2 linked regions of the Stegostoma tigrinum genome follow. The protein of the gene in region 1 purifies or fractionates together with the protein of each later gene. This does not show direct contact. Links are inferred from orthologs where the notes say so. Each region holds a gene or a part of one and is shown on either strand. Other genes may lie near its edges.

The links. The genes of interacting proteins can lie anywhere in the genome.
Region 2: the proteins of tyrosine-protein phosphatase non-receptor type 12-like (region 1) and vapal purify together in Homo sapiens (affinity purification with mass spectrometry; 3 studies listed by BioGRID and IntAct, counting the BioPlex papers as one, with this or other methods). This does not show direct contact. The link is inferred for Stegostoma tigrinum from reciprocal best matches to the Homo sapiens genes PTPN12 and VAPA.

What each region holds. Positions count from the first base shown.
Region 1 is NC_081378.1:24,619,927-24,628,156, forward strand, and holds the start of tyrosine-protein phosphatase non-receptor type 12-like, read left to right. Parts: upstream 1-5,001; 5' UTR 5,002-5,187; coding exon 5,188-5,286; intron 5,287-8,230. UniProt on the Homo sapiens protein: Dephosphorylates a range of proteins, and thereby regulates cellular signaling cascades. Dephosphorylates cellular tyrosine kinases, such as ERBB2 and PTK2B/PYK2, and thereby regulates signaling via ERBB2 and PTK2B/PYK2.
Region 2 is NC_081358.1:115,000,024-115,007,826, forward strand, and holds the start of vapal (VAMP (vesicle-associated membrane protein)-associated protein A, like), read left to right. Parts: upstream 1-4,214; 5' UTR 4,215-4,315; coding exon 4,316-4,373; intron 4,374-7,803. UniProt on the Homo sapiens protein: Endoplasmic reticulum (ER)-anchored protein that mediates the formation of contact sites between the ER and endosomes via interaction with FFAT motif-containing proteins such as STARD3 or WDR44.

The DNA of each region.
Region 1 (8,230 bases):
TTACAACTTTACATAATTTTATCAATTGTCCCAGAATCTACAATGATCCAATGAGTAGTGGTATGTGAGAAAGCAGCACCATTGATTAACTGTCAATTCTTAATGCTGTTCTAAGCATTCTAATTTCTCAAATTGCAGAGATAAAATGATAAATAGCATTTGGAAACTCGTAATTTTACTTCTTAATAATTTACTGAAAGTCTTTAATAAGAAACTTGAGCAGAAATCTGTCGCTTTGGAGGTATATTAAAACCTTAGAATTCCTTGTCTGTGGAAATCACTTCCAAGGGTAGGCAACATTCAAAATTAGATTTGATAGATGGATGATGAAAAAGGGAATGAAGGGGCATAGCAACAAGGAACACATGATCAGAACTTGTTTACATAGCAGGTAAATACCAATGTATACTGATTGGGCTTAATTTTCATGTTGTAATTAATATGTCTGAGCATACTAATATATTTCTAATAACTCCCATTTTCAACAGATTCATTAATGTCATCCACATTAAAAGTCAAATGTACACTTGCTCAGATTATGACTCCCAAACTGTAGCTGCAGTTCTTGCCCATTCACACCACAAATATAACATGTTTTTAAATCAAATGTCATGTCCTGGCATGAAACTATGTGAAAGAAACATACATACTATCTCCACCCTATGAAATAACTTGCTCCTATTAGAGGCTTCTGTCTGACGCTGAGCAATGGTAAATTCATGTCATTTTGCTTTGATGAACAAGTTAGTGCTTCACTTAAGTTAAATTCCATACATGTTAACAGTCAAATTGGAATGTGAGTGAGCAATTAAATGAATGCTCAAGGCTACAAAATGGAGTGTGTGCAAAATATAATGTGAATAACAACAAAAAAAAACACATTTTCATACAATTCTTACCAGAGTTCATTGGAAGGGCAGCCCAGCTTGGTCCCATAATGGTAAATTACTCTTATAATTTGTTGTTTCGAAGGCCAAATTGTTAAAATCACATGGTTAGAACATAGAATGTAGAACAATACAGTGCAGAACAGGCCCTTCAGCCCTTGATGTTGTGCCGACCTATTAACTAATCTAAGTCCCTGCCCCTACACTATCCCATCATCATCCATATGCTTATCCAAGGACTGTTTAAATGCCCCTAATGTGGCTGAGTTAACTACATTGGCAGGCAGGGCGTTCCATGCCCTTACCACTTGAGCCTTGAGCCACTGAAATCCAATCAATTAATAGTGGAGTACTTAGAAGGCAAATAGTAATTATTTCTGTAGGTGCTAAAAATACTGACATTTTGTTACACATTTATTGAAAAAATATTCAACACGAAAATAATTGCACATGAAAATTAAATGTTAGACAGCATTTTATTACAAAGTATATGTAGATTTTAGAAAGCATTTGCTCATCCTATAATATGTGAGAATTATTGTTTCCTCTAAGCTAAATGAATTAAGGGTTTTTTAGACCATAAGACCATAAGACATAGAAATGGAAGTAAGGCCATTTGGCCCATCAAGTCCACTCCGCCATTTAAATCATGGCTGATGGGCATTTCAACTCCACTTCCCTGCACTCTCCCCGTAGCCCTTGATTCCTTCTGAGATCAAGAATTTGTCGATCTCTGCCTTGAAGGCATCCAACGTCCCAGCCTCCACTGCACTCCGTGGCAATGAATTCCACAAGCCCACCACTCTCTGGCTGAAGAAATGTCGTCTCATTTCAGTTTTAAATTTACCCCCTCTAATTTTAAGGCTGTGCCCACGGGTCCCAGTTTCCCCGCCTAACGGAAACAACTTCCTAGCATCCACCCCTTCTAAACCATACATTATCTTGTAAGTTTCTAGCACTTGTTGTTCGAGTGCATCACTGATTGATACATCTCAAAATTATTAATTTCATTGCTTTCAGTTAAACCCAACCCTGCTCCAGCAACAAAAGCATTTTTTGTGTTGCATTGCTGGTTAAAGCTGACTTCAAAAAATTCATAGCACAGGATTGAGCAAAAATGTCATTAAGTGTCATGGGAAAATGGTTAAACTTTCTTGTTGCAGGCAGTCTTGTCAAAGTGCTGCGATTCAGTGAAGGATCTGCCTTTGAGCAGAGAACTCAAGAAGTAGTCAGTATATTTAGTTACATTCCACAATATCTCAGATGATGAAGTAATCCAATATTCAAGAATATCTAGATTTAGGCAAGCAAACATTTGGCACCCAAGTGCTGCGATTTTCTTTTTCCTCCAGGTATGGTGCCAAGGCAGTCCTCACGTCTGCCTCAACTGAAATATGGATCAAACCCATTCTGTTGGTATTAAGCTGATCTGCACACTTGCTGTCTATCTCAGCTTCACTTCCTCAAAAATACAGCGTTATCACAGGGAAGTGATTAATTAAGTAGCTTTATATTATTGGGCCTAGGTCATTGTCCTGGGAAAAAAGCAGCAATTACCTGAGGCTGAGATGATTTGTCTTCCAACATCAACCTTCTTTTGTGCCAGATATGATTCTCAACCACTGGAAATTTTTCCTATTTCCCACTGACTTCAATTTTGTTAGGGCTCTTGGGTATCACACGTGGTTGCATGTTGCCATGACTTTAAGGGGAGCCACTGTAATTCCATGTCTGGAGTACAGCTCTTGAGAAAGGCTGGACTGATGTATGAAACTGAGTGGATTTGACTGGGACCAAGCTGAGTCTCAGTGACATGCACAGAACCCATCATCATTCCTCAGATTCTTCACTTCAATGCCGCAGTTTTGTTTGCCGGAAGTAAGCTGAACACACTCCTCTTGCAGAGAAACATACTCTTAACTGAACCCAGAGAATTTAGGTAAACAGTGGCAATTTCAACAATTTTAGGAAGTCTGTAGGTGTACTACAGTTGAAAATAAACTGCCTTAAACAGTAGTCTACAAGAGAATCAAGTGACATTGGGATAGGGAGAAAAGTGGACTTAAGGCTGCAGTCAGATCAGCCATGACCTTACTGAATCGTGGAACAGATTGATGGGCCAAATGACTTATTTCTGCTTCTATTTTGTATGTTCCACATAACTCTTCCCCAATGCAAAGATACAGTTGAAGCAATTAGCAGAAATAAATTGCATTAATAACTTCAAGCGTGTGATCAACTCAATACAAGCTCAAGCAAAGAGGAAGTAGAGAAAACTGTGCTCTTTATTAGCAGGTTAAGTTCTCACTGTACGGACGTAAATTTTAAGCTTCCCCTTCCTACCCTTTTTTTTGAAAGACTTAAGGGATGTAGACATTATGACCATTTATTGCCCATTCTTAGTTCCGCTTGAAGGTGCCTTCTTGAAATACTGTATTTGCTGTGTACACCTACAATGTTGTTGGGAGTTCTAGTATTTTGATACAGTGACATTGACAGAGCAGCAGTACTTTTCCATACCAGATGGTGAGTGGCTTGGAAGCAGTGTGGTCTTTCTTTTGCTCCTCATCAGGTTAAAAGAAATATGGAGATCTACAGCACAGGAGAAGGCCTATTGACCCACAGAGTCAGTACCAGTCAAAAAACAGGCACCTGACAATTCTAAGATAATGGGAACTGCAGATGCTGGAGAATTCCAAGATAATAAAATGTGAGGCTGGATGAACACAGCAGGCCAAGCAGCATCTCAGGAACACAAAAGCTGACGTTTCAGGCCTAGTTTCTAGGCCCGAAACGTCAGCTTTTGTGCTCCTGAGATGCTGCTTGGCCTGCTGTGTTCATCCAGCCTCACATTTTATTAACCTGACAATTCTAATCCCATTATCCAGTACTCAGTTCATAGTCTTGTGTGTCTTGACATTGCAAGTAGACATCTAAATACTACTTAAATATTATGAGGATTTTCTGCACATACTACCCTTATAGATAGTGAATTCCAGATTTCACCAGCCTCTGGATGAAATTGTTTTTCTTTGCATCTCCACTAAATCTCCTGTCCCTTATCTCAAATCCATGTTCCCTGCTTACTGATCCTCCACCAAGGAGAAAGGTTCCTCTCTATCTTTCTTCGCTATCTATTCCCTCATAACGTTTTAACAAAGATCTGTGGCTCAGGTTGTGGCTGGAATTGTTGGCTGTTTCGCAAAGCTGACTGATTTGAGTGCTAATGTTCCACCCCCCTTTTAGATGACATCTTCAGAGCTGTCTAGCCTCTGTCTAAGCCCCTCATAATTTTATATATTCTAATCACATCTCTCCTCAGTTGCAAGGAAAACACCAATCTATCCAACTTCTCCTCACAACTAAACCTCTGCTGTCCAGGCAACAGACTGGCAAATCTCCTCTGCACCTGTCTGGTGCAATCACATCCCTCCTATTATGTGGATTCCAGAATTACACAATACTCTGGCTGTGGCCTGACAAACATTTTATACAATTCAACATGACCTCCCTCCTCCTAAATGATTGGTCTCAGCTAATAGGGCAAACTTCCCATTGCCTTCTTAACTACTTAATCTACTGTCCTCTACCTTAAGGAACCAGCAGACATGCACATCAAGTTTGCTCTGATCCTTAGTGCTTCCTAGATTTCTACCCTTTATATATTCCATTGCCTTGCTTCTCCCGCCCAAATGCATCACCTCACACTTTATTCGGACTGAATTCTATTTGCCGCCACTGACCTGTCTGACCAAATCATCTTCAACCTTCAGTACTCTAAAGCTATCCTCCTGTATTGGCAGTAACCACTTTAGCATCACTGCGCAGCTTTGAAGTGTTTGCTAAAATGTCTGTTTATGAACACAATTCATATGCTTTAACGAAACAACCCAGACTCAGCAATCAAACATCAAACGTCACCACCCAACCCCTGCTGAAAGAGAATTGCACAGTCCTCTGGAGTATCAAGTTGGATAGAATGAGCAGGTGTAACAATGAGTGGTAGGTGCAGGGCCGAATCAGCTGGCTAAGTCGCGGCATGACGCAATGGCAACGCTGGGCCAATGAGAGGCAGGAGGAGGGGCGGGGCGTGTGGGGGCGGGGAAGGGGAAGAGGGCGAAAGAGAAAAAGAGGAAAGTGGCGCCGGGCGGGTGAGGGGAAGCTGAGAATTAAGGATTCTCATACGGAAGAGGTGTGTAGGTGGAGGTTTTTTTTAACACATTAAAAAAAACGCAAGATGCGAAAGTGATAAGAGTTCGATCCTGTCCGTTGGTCTTGAATTTTCCAATGTGCCGAGAAGATGGAGCAAAGCGAAATTCTGAGGAAATTCATTAACCGGGTGCTGGAAATGAAAGTCCGCGACCAGAATGGGGAGGACAACTTTGCCAGCGACTTCATGGTGAGTTTAATTGTTTTTTTTCTCACTTACGAGTATTGTTTTTCCTTTGTAGTAAACGAACTTTCGCGAACTGGAATCGATTTTTCTCCTTTGGGTGAGTTTGGCCGTGTAAGGTTGGTGGCGGCGCCTTAGCAACAACCCTTACCCCTTGTCCCAGCTTCTCAACCAACACCCACTGGGGAGGAATGAGGACCATCACTGCCAGCTCCAGGCTGTGCGGCCTAAACCGCTCCCTCATGGCTTCTCGTTCACTTTCAGAAAACAAAAATCAGAAAGCTGCATTTGTCGGGTGCTGCGAACTCTGTTTTTTCAGAGATACCATTTAAGCTATAGTTTGGACAATTGTAAAGCTGTGTTTGTTAAAGGGTCTGTCTTGAGTGAAACTCCTGCCTTGTACAACAAAAAATGCAATGAATTTATCAGCTGTGACTCAGAAATGTGGGGAGTTTGCGGATGTTGCGCAAGGCACGGGGCGTTGTGTTCGCTCCAACGAAGTGTGTAATGACTGGATTTTCGTTGTTGACTGGACTGTTTTTATTTTTTTGCTTCAGTACAATATTCGGAACACTTCGGGTCCTGATTATTAGACATGCTAGTATCCGCTGGAGTAACTCGGGTACCGAAAAAGAGAATCAGCGTCTACTAGTACCCAGGAACTGTATGTGGGGGGAGGAATACGATTTAGCTGCATTCACTGAATGAAAGAGTTTGTGGACATTAGTGATTGCATGAAGGCAAGATTAAACAGGATTATGATAATCTTTTTTGGTGGAATGAGCCCTCTGGTATTCAATGCTTAGATTGAATCGTTAGCACATAAGTGAAAATGTTGGAGGGAGGTTCATGCCTGTGAATCTTGTCTGTAATGATTCACAACATTTTGGGGAAAATCAACATTGGAAGTTGAATTTTGATTAAAAGTTGCCATCAATGAACAATAGAAGATGGCTGTTCAGTCCATTGACATCTGCATCTATTATTCACCTCCACTGTTACATATTTTAATATAATACATTAAGCACAGTAAATGCCTTTTGGTACTTCACAGGAGAAATTTTATAGAAAGTGACATTAGGAGAGACAGCCAAAAGCTTGGGCAGCAATTTAAGTTTGAAGGCTTGCAGATGCTGCAGTTAAAATCAGGGATGTGCATGAGGTCAGAATGGAAGAACATAAACATTTTGGAATGTGGTAGGGCTGGAGTAACCGTGGAATGAGCTGCCAGAGGTGGTGGAGGAAGCTGGTACAATTGAATAGTTAAAACACATCCGTGTGGGTATATGAATAGGAAGGGGTTGGACGGATGTGGGCTAAATGCTGGCAAATGGGACCAGATTTATTTAGGATACTTGGTCAGGATGATGAGTAGGACATCTTTATGACTCCTTACTTTTGGAACAATAAGGAATGAGGTTGTAGAAGGCTTTGAAAATGAGAATGAATGTTTTAAACTTTGAGGCGTTTTGGACCAGGACTAATAAAGGTGAGCATGCAAGGAGGTGACATTTGAATGGAATCTGTGCGAGTTAAGTTGCAGACAGCAAAGTTTTAAATGAACTCCAATTTAAAATGGAAGATGGGAGGCAAGCCAGATGAGCATTGGAATAGTCAAGACTAAAGCCAGCAAAGGCATAGTTGCTGGGAGAACAAGTGAGCTGCAGAGTTTGGAATCAGACATCACTAAAGGTAACAAGGTGTAGAGCTGGGTGAACGCAGCAGGCCAAGCAGGAAAGCTGACGTTTTGGGTTGGGACTTCTCTTTAGAAGAAACTTCAGCTTTCCTGCTCCTCTACTGCTTGGCCTGTTGTGTTCATTCAGCTCGCTACCTTGTTATCTCAGATTCTCCAGCTTTGACAATTCCCACAATCTCTGAATCACAAGGGTAGAGTTTCATATAAAAGTGGAAAGAACTGTGGATGCAGTAAATCAGAAACAAACACAGAAATTGTTGAAAAAGCTCACCAGGTATGGAAGCATTTATGAAGACAAAGCAGAGTTAACATTTTGGGTCTGGTGACCTGAGGAAGGGTCACTGGTCCCTAAAATGTTAACTCTGATTTCTCTTCAGATGCTGCCAGATCTTCTGAGATTTTCAAGTAATTTCTGTTTGTTGTAGAAGTTTGTATAGTTGGGATGTTGTGAATATATGGTTGAAAGTTCATGTGGTCAAACGTGACAAGGTTGAGAACTACCTTTGTTTCAAGGTTGTAAGGAGTTGATGATAAAATGTGAGGCTGGATGAACACAGCAGGCCAAGCAGCATCTCAGGAGCACAAAAGCTGACTTTTCGGGCCTGGACCCTTCTTCAGAGAGGGGGATGGGGAGAGGGAACTGGAATAAATAGGGAGAGAGGGGGAGGCGGACTGAAGATGGAGAGTAAAGAAGATAGGTGGAGAGAGTATAGGTGGGGAGGTAGGGAGGGGATAGGTCAGTCCAGGGAAGACTGACAGGTCAAGGAGGTGGGATGAGGTTAGTAGGTAGATGGGGGTGCGGCTTGGGGTGGGAGGAAGGGATGGGTGAGAGGAAGAACAGGTGAGGGAGGCAGAGACAGGTTGGACTGGTTTTGGGATGCAGTGGATGGAGTGGAAGAGCTGGGCTGGTTGTGTGGTGCAGTGGGGGGAGGGGACGAACTGGGCTGGTTTAGGGATGCAGTAGGGGAAGGGGAGATTTTGAAACTGGTGAAGCCCACATTGATACCATACGGCTGCAGGGTTCCCAGGCGGAATATGAGTTGCTGTTCCTGCAACCTTCGGGTGGCATCATTGTGGCAGTGCAGGAGGCCCATGATGGACATCTCATCTAGAGAATGGGAGGGGGAGTGGAAATGGTTTGTGACTGGGAGGTGCAGTGTAAGGAGTTGGTTGGAATTTGTGGCTAGGGAATAGCATTTGCATCGTGGACTGAACACATTGTCTTCTCTACAAGTTGGAGGGAATTTCTGATCA
Region 2 (7,803 bases), on another chromosome or scaffold:
CAGACTAATACAGCATGGAAACAGGCCCTTCAGAACAAACTGATCCATGCTGACCATGGTGCCCACTCATCCAGTTCCAAATACCCACATTTGGGCCATATCCCTCTAAACCTTTCTTATCCACGTACCTATCCAAAGGTTTTTTAAAAGCTCTATTGTACACCTGCCTCAAAAACTTTCTCTGGCAGTCCATTCCATTTACGCACCATTCTCTGCAGGAAGAAGTTACCCCTCAGGTTCTTCTTAAATCTGTCTCCTCTTACGTTAAACCTATGCCCTCTAGCTTTCAATTCCCCATCCCTGGGAAAAAGACTATATGCATTCATCCTATCTATGCCCCTCATGATGTCATACACCTCATTAAGTTCACCCCTCATTCCCCTACAATCCAAGGAATAAAAGTTCTATCCTGGCCAACCTCTCCTATAGCTCAGGTACTCAGGTTTACTAGTCCTGGCAACATCCTCGTAAATCTTCTTTGCACATTTTCATGTCTAACTATGTCTTTCCTATAACAGGGTGACCAAAACTGTACACAATACTCCAAGCGCAGCCTCACCAACGACTTATACAACTGTAACGTAACGTCCCTATTCCTATAATCAATGCCTGGTGTGTGCGATTCGGGCCAGGACATGGGAGAGTTCAGGCCTTAAAATTATTGAACTCGATATTGAATCCGGAGGGCTGTCAGGTCCCCAGGCAGAAAATAAGGTGTTGTTTCTTCAGCTTTTCCAGTAACACCCTCATTCCAGGAATTCTCCTTAAACTGAGATAACAAGGCGTAGAATTGGATTAACGCAGCAGTCCAAGCAGCATCTTAGGAGCAGGAAAGCTGCCATTTCGGGCCCAGACCCTTTTCTGATACAATGTTAACCCTCCTTTAACTGTTCTTATCACAGAATTGTTATGACACAGATGGAGGTCATTTGACCCATTGAAGCTGCATATGCTCTTCAAATTCAAACATCTTCATTACCTAGTGGAAATCTCCTGTTTTCTTCTCATTCCCTTGCACACTATTTCTATCTTAATAATGATCAAATATCCTTGAATATCTCAACTGAACTTGCCTCAATCATATTTCCAGGCAGTGCATTCTATATCTCAACTATTCACTGTGTGAAAAGATTTTCCTCAGTCTTTTGTGCATCTATGCCTTCTAGTTTCTAATGCAGCTATGTCTATTCCTAAATAAGGAGCCCAAAACTGTACTGCGGATACGGTCTCACCAATGGTTTTTTCAACTAAAGCAAAACATCCCACTTTCACATTCTATTCTCCTTGCAAAAAAATCAAATGCTAGGACACCTAGGTCCCTTTGCACCTTAAGGATTTTTCAATCTCTCTCCATGAAATAATACACTGCTTTTCCTGCCAAAGGGGACAAGTTCACTTTCTCACATTATACTCCATTTTCCTGTTCTGCTAACTTACCTAAATTCCATTGCAGACTTTGGCAGAGCCTACCTGTCTTTGTGTATTAAGCAAGATTTAGCAATGCATTTGGCCCCTTCAGCCGAGTCACTGACAGAGACCATAAGTAGAAGCAGGGCCATAAGACCATTAGACCACAAGACACAGGAGTGGAAGTAAGGCCATTCGGCCCATCAAGTCCACTCTGCCATTTAAATCATGGCTGATGGGCATTTCAACACCACTTCCCTGCACTCTCCCAGTAGCCCTTGATTCCTTTTGAGATCAAGAATTTGTCGATCTCTGCCTTGAAGGCATCCGACGTCCCGGCCTCCACTGCACTCCATGGCAATGAATTCCACAAGCCCACCACTCTCTGGCTGAACAAATGTCGTCTCATTTCAGTTTTAAATTTAACCTCTCTAATTTTAAGGCTGTGCCCACGGGTCCTAGTCTCCCCGCCTAACGGAAACAACTTCCCAGCGTCCACCCCTTCTAAACCATACATTATCTTGTAAGTTTCTATTAGATCTCCCCTCAACCTTCTAAACTCTCATGAGTACAATCCCAGGATCCTTAGCCGTTCATCATACGCTAAACCTACCATTCCAGGGATCATCCGTGTGAATCTCCGCTGGACACGCTCCAGTACTAGTATGTCCTTCCTGAGGTGTGGGGCCCAAATTGGACACAGTATTCTAAATGGGGCCTAACTAGAGCTTTATAAAGCCTCAGAAGCACTTTGCTGCTTTTATATCCCAACCCTCTTGAGATAAATGACAACATTACATTCGCTTTCTTAATTATGGACTCTACCTGCAAGTTAACCTTTACAGAATCCTGGACCAACACTCCCAGATCCCTTTGCACTTCTGCTTTACGAATTTTCTCACCGTTTAGAAAATAGTCCATGCCTGTATTCTTTTTTCCTAAGTGCAAAACCTCACATTTACTCACATTGAATTTCATCAGCCATTTCCTGGACCACTCTCCTAAACTGTCTAAATCTTTCTGCAGCTTCCCCACCTCCTCAGTACTACCTGCTTGTCCACCTATCTTCGTATCATCGGCAAACTTCGCCAGAGGTGAACAGCTGTGGCCCCAACACTGAACCCTGCGGGACACCACTCGTCACCAGTTGCCATTCTGAGAAAGAGCCTTTTATCCCAACTCTCTGCCTTCTGTCAGACAGCCAATCCTCAATCAAGCCAGTAGCTCACCTCGAACACCATGGGCTCTCACCTTGCTCAGCAGCCTCCCGTGAGGCACTGTAGCAAAGGCCTTTTGGAAGCCTAGATAGATAACATCTACCTGGTCTAACATACTTGTTACCTCCTCAAAGAATTCTAACAGGTTTGTCAGGCACAACCTCCCCTTACTAAAACCATGCTGACTTGTTTTAATCTGACCCTGCACTTCCAGGAATTTAGAAATCTCGTCCTTGACAATGCATTCTAGAATTTTACCAACTACCGAGGTTAGGCTAATCGGCCTATAATTTTCCATCTTTTGCCTTGATCCTTTCTTAAACAAGGGAGTTAAAACAGCAATTTTCCAATCATCTGGGACTTTCCCTGACTCCGAGATAATGGGAACTGCAGATGCTGGAGAATTCCAAGATAATAAAATATGAGGCTGGATGAACACAGCAGGCCAAGCAGGAGCAATTTCCCTGACTCCAGTGACTTTTGAAAGATCACGACCAAAGCCTCCGCTATTTCCTCAGCCACCTGCAGGACCCTGCAACATTGATCTGGGGGAAGAGGGGTGGAGGCATTCCACTTGTGACATCTTGCCCAATGAGAAAAAACCATTCACAAAGGCTCAATAATGAGGAAGTACAATTTTAAGGTGAAGGATGAGAAAATTAGAGGGGATTTAATGATTTTTTGTTTTCACTCAGAGAGTAGTGGGAATCTGGAATGCATTCCCAGGAAAAGTAACCTCATGATCTATTTTAAATGCGGAAGAGCACCTGAAATGCCATAACGTTCAAAACTACGGGCAGTTGCCAGAAAGTGAGATTACCACAGAAGGTTTTTTGTCAGTGCAAACTGGATATACTCAATGATTTCCCCTGTATTACAGGCCTAACTCTTGGTTTTTGGGCACACTAGGATATTAGCCCTTGGCACCATGAGTTATCGAAGAACCAGAGACAGCAATCTACGCTCCCCCCTCCACAACACTGCAGCAAAGGATTAATTCACAACTTATATTTTAATAATAGTTTTTCCTGATGAAGGGTCTGGACTCGAAACATCAGCTTTCCCGCTCCTCTGATACTGTTTCAGAGATAATGGGAACTGCAGATGCTGGAGAATCCCAGATAATAAAGTGTGAAGCTGGATGAACACAGCAGGCCAAGCAGCATTTCAGGATTGTGCTCAGCACTGTGCTCCTGAGATGCTGCATGGCCTGCTGTGTTCATCCAGCTTCACACTTTATTATCTCTGATACTGCTTGGCCTGTTGTGTTTATCCAGCTCTACACCTTGTTATCAGCAGCTCCTACTACCTCTGGTATTACAGCGCTCAGGAGCACTTGGCACTTGAGCCTCCGTCTCACGGACGAGAGGCGGGACCTCTGCCAGTGCGCCACATCATCGCGGTCAGCCCATCCGCACGTCACGGGGTAAGCCGTACTGCGCACGCTCGTGGCCGGCGAGCAAATCCCCGGGGCGGCGCCTGAGGACGCGCACGCATTTTGGCGTGCGCTGATTGGGTGCGCGCACGTCGGCGTCCTGCAGAGCTCGAGTCAGGCGGAGGGAAAGAGAGAAAAAAAAATCAGCCCCTTTTACCCTCCCCCCCCCCTCCCCCTCATCCCGGAGAGGATCGGATAAGCGCCATCAGGCAGCAAAGGCTCTGAGTATCAGCCCTGCCCCCCCCCCCCCACGACAATGGCCAGATTGGAGCAAGTACTGATCCTCGATCCGCCCGTCGAGCTCAAATTCAAAGGTGACTGACGCTCGCACCGACATATTTATTTATGTGTTATTGTTACTCTGCATTACACGGACCGGGTGCCGCTCGTCTCACACATTCACACTTCTTCCGTTTTCTTCGCATCCTTCGCTACTGCGGCTGTGGCCCGCCGCCGTAGTTTGCCTTGTCCCGGGTGGGTGGCTGGGAGCTGGTCCTTCAGCACCTATCCTCATCCTTGTTCCCCCCGCCGCCCCCCAACCAACCAAGCTCCGGGGTATTGGGAGGCCCCGGCCGGCTCCACTCGAATCCCCCGGCAGTTCGCTCGCTGCAGCCGCCATTTTGGTAGCGCGGACTAGGCCGCGCCTGGATCCTCGGCTTCGTCGTGATGGTGGTGGCGGCGGCGGCGTCTGCCGCGGCTGGGTTCGGTGTGAACTGAGTGTGCCGCGATTTTCCGCGAGGATCGTCTCGGTTCGGTTCATTCTTTTTCTCGCGGATGTCAGCTTTGCTCCGAGGCCGGGTGTTGCCGGGGGAAGGTGGAATGAGTCAGTTTATGCAGAGTGGGCCCCACGTTACCTGGTCTTTTTAAAAATTATTTTATTATTGCTGGCTGAAATCGGAAACCAGCTCTTTTGAGTAGGGGAAAGGTGCCGAATGCTGTGCTCGCCCCAGAGCACATGGGATTCGGAGGCTGGAGATTTTTTTTCATCCAGATTGCATCCTTCACGCGTTTAGCAGCCGTGGTCTATTTTCAGCAACGTCTCTGTGCACAGATATTCAACCTTACTTCAAAATATTTAGAATTGCCATTTGTAATAGTGGAAAACAGTCTGCTGAAGTGCCTCTTAGGAACATAGAAAGATGACAAGGAGCAGATAGCACTTAAAAAAAATTACTGAATGGTTCAGTAATTTTTAATATTTTAATTAGGAGCTAGACTTCTAACAGTGTATTGATACATCGAATCCTTACCCTGTGTAATGGGATAGCCTTCGTGTGTGTTTTTATAGATATAGTTAGCTGAATAATTATGGCAGAAATAGCAGACAGTTCATACGGTGGTTTTAAGTATTTCTATTTCGTAATTTTTTTACGTTCTAAGAAATGTGTTCAAACAGAAAAAAGCTTCAGGCTTAAATACCAAAATTAAGTTTGGGATAACTAGATACTTGTGTTCGAGTCTGGAGATTTTGCAGTGCTGGGAATAAGAACAGTTTCTCTCAAACTTATTTTCAAGTCCTGATGCTATATTTGGGTCATGGCTGTTTGAGAAGAGCCTCAGTATGTCTTGACCTGTATGCTTACCTTAATGTGATGTTGCATTGCTAGTCTCTTTGACACTTTACCATAGAACTAACTAGCTCCACCCAAAGTGCCAACGAGGCTGTTGGAGACATGACTGAGCTGCAATCTCTGCCCTTTGGCACCAAGTGGATTATGTTTCTTAAGATCATTAGTATGACATGATCTTGCACTTTCTTTGGCTAGGCTTCATTCCAAAGAACAGATCGAGTAAGTAATTTATGCTCTTGTCTTAATTGCTGATTCCAGATGACATTTAAGTTTGACCTTTTTAAAAAATGCTGCTAATTTTCGCTCAAATGTATTGTTGCTGAAAATTAACATAATGTTTTGTCATAAATAAATTGCTCAGTTTGTCAAATTTTGAATAAGGAGGAAAAGTCAGTATCAGTAAAGACTAAAATGGACTTGACAGATTTACATTTGTCTTTTGAAATCTTCTATTAAGAACTGGAATGACTGAAATGTTTTATCCTCTTCAGGGTGAGATTATGGCATTTGTTTTCTGGAGTTTGTGTGACATGTTGAAGCTTTCTTCAGCCTGCCATTGTTTAGGTATTTTATTTCTGATTTAACTAAATTATGCGGAGAAAGTAGTTTTCAATGAAGGAATTTAAATTGCAGTTGCTATGCTGAGTGAAATCAAGCAGTTTTTACCACTCACCACTCTCCACCATCCCTTGTCAAAAATCTGGGTTTTCAACTTTTATTTGACCTTAGACTCTGGAACGTGATAAGCCACATGGTACCTTTCACACCTCCTATTCACCAATGGCTTTGAAGCCTCTTACTCGGGTCTGGAAATTCCTTTGAATTCCACCTTGCTGTTTTTGATCATAACCTCTCTGAAGGGATGTTAATGTTGTGATAATGCTGCTGGATGAATGATTTACAGATGCGACTTCAAATCTCACCACAGCTCAAACTCAGAAAGTTAAAAAGTCTACTGCAGGAAGTCCTTGATTTTTGACTCTCGCAACAGTGAACTCTGATGGCATCAGGTTCAGCTCAGGCAATGCTGGATTACCACCTCCTGTCCTCCCTCCACTGAAAAATCTATGTACTTCATTGTTGAATACTGTCTGGGAGTAATGTTGAGAATAGGAAGGGCACGATTTGTTCTCTGTGAGAAAATTCAATGAGCAATTGTAGCTTTGTAGCTCCACTACTGACTGAGCTCCCAAGGTCATAAATGCTGTGTTGAGCCTGTGACAGCAAACAAGGGAACCAACAAGAGGGACAAGGAAGACCTCGTTCGCACCAATCTATCTGTCACGGATGCATTCCTCTCTGACAGCATTGAGAGGAATGACACAGACTGTGGGGAGATGGAGTCCTGCCCTTTTTGAATATCTGTTCCACTATCTGTGTGGCAGTTTGACCATGCTGAGTTGTAGGAGATGCCACAAGTATCCCCATCCTCATTGATGGTGGGACCTAGGATATCATTGCATTAGACCAGGCTAGAGCATTTGCACGTATCATCAGTCAAATCTATCTGGACTTGCAAAAGGCCTTTGATATGGTGCCTCATGGGAGGCTGCTGAGCAAGGTGAAGGCCCATGGTGTTCGAGGTGAGCTACTGGCTTGGATTGAAGATTGGCTGTCTGACAGAAGGCAGAGAGTTGGGACAAAAGGCTCTTTTTCAGAATGGCAACTGGTGACGAGTGGTGTCCCGCAGGGTTCAGTGTTGGGGCCGCAGCTGTTCACCTTGTATGTTAATGATCTGGATGAAGAGACTGGGGGCATTCTGGCAAAGTTTGCCGATGATACAAATATAGGTGGACAGGCAGGTAGTACTGAGGAGGTGGGGAAGCTGCAGAAAGATTTAGACAGTTTAGGAGAGTGGTCCAGGAAATGGCTGATGAAATTCAACGTGAGCAAATGTGAGGTTTTGCACTTGGGGGAAAAAGAATACAGGCATGGACTATTTTCTAAACGGTGAGAAAATTCGTAAAGCAGAAGTGCAAAGGGATCTGCGAGTGTTGGTCCAGGATTCTCTCAAGGTTAACTTGCAGGTAGAGTCCGTAATTAAGAAAGCGAATGTAATGTTGCCGTTTATCTCAAGAGGGTTGGAATATAAAAGCAGCGAAGTGCTTCTGAGGCTTTATAAAGCTCTAGTTAGGCCCCATTTAGAATACTGTGTCCAATTTGGGCCCCACAC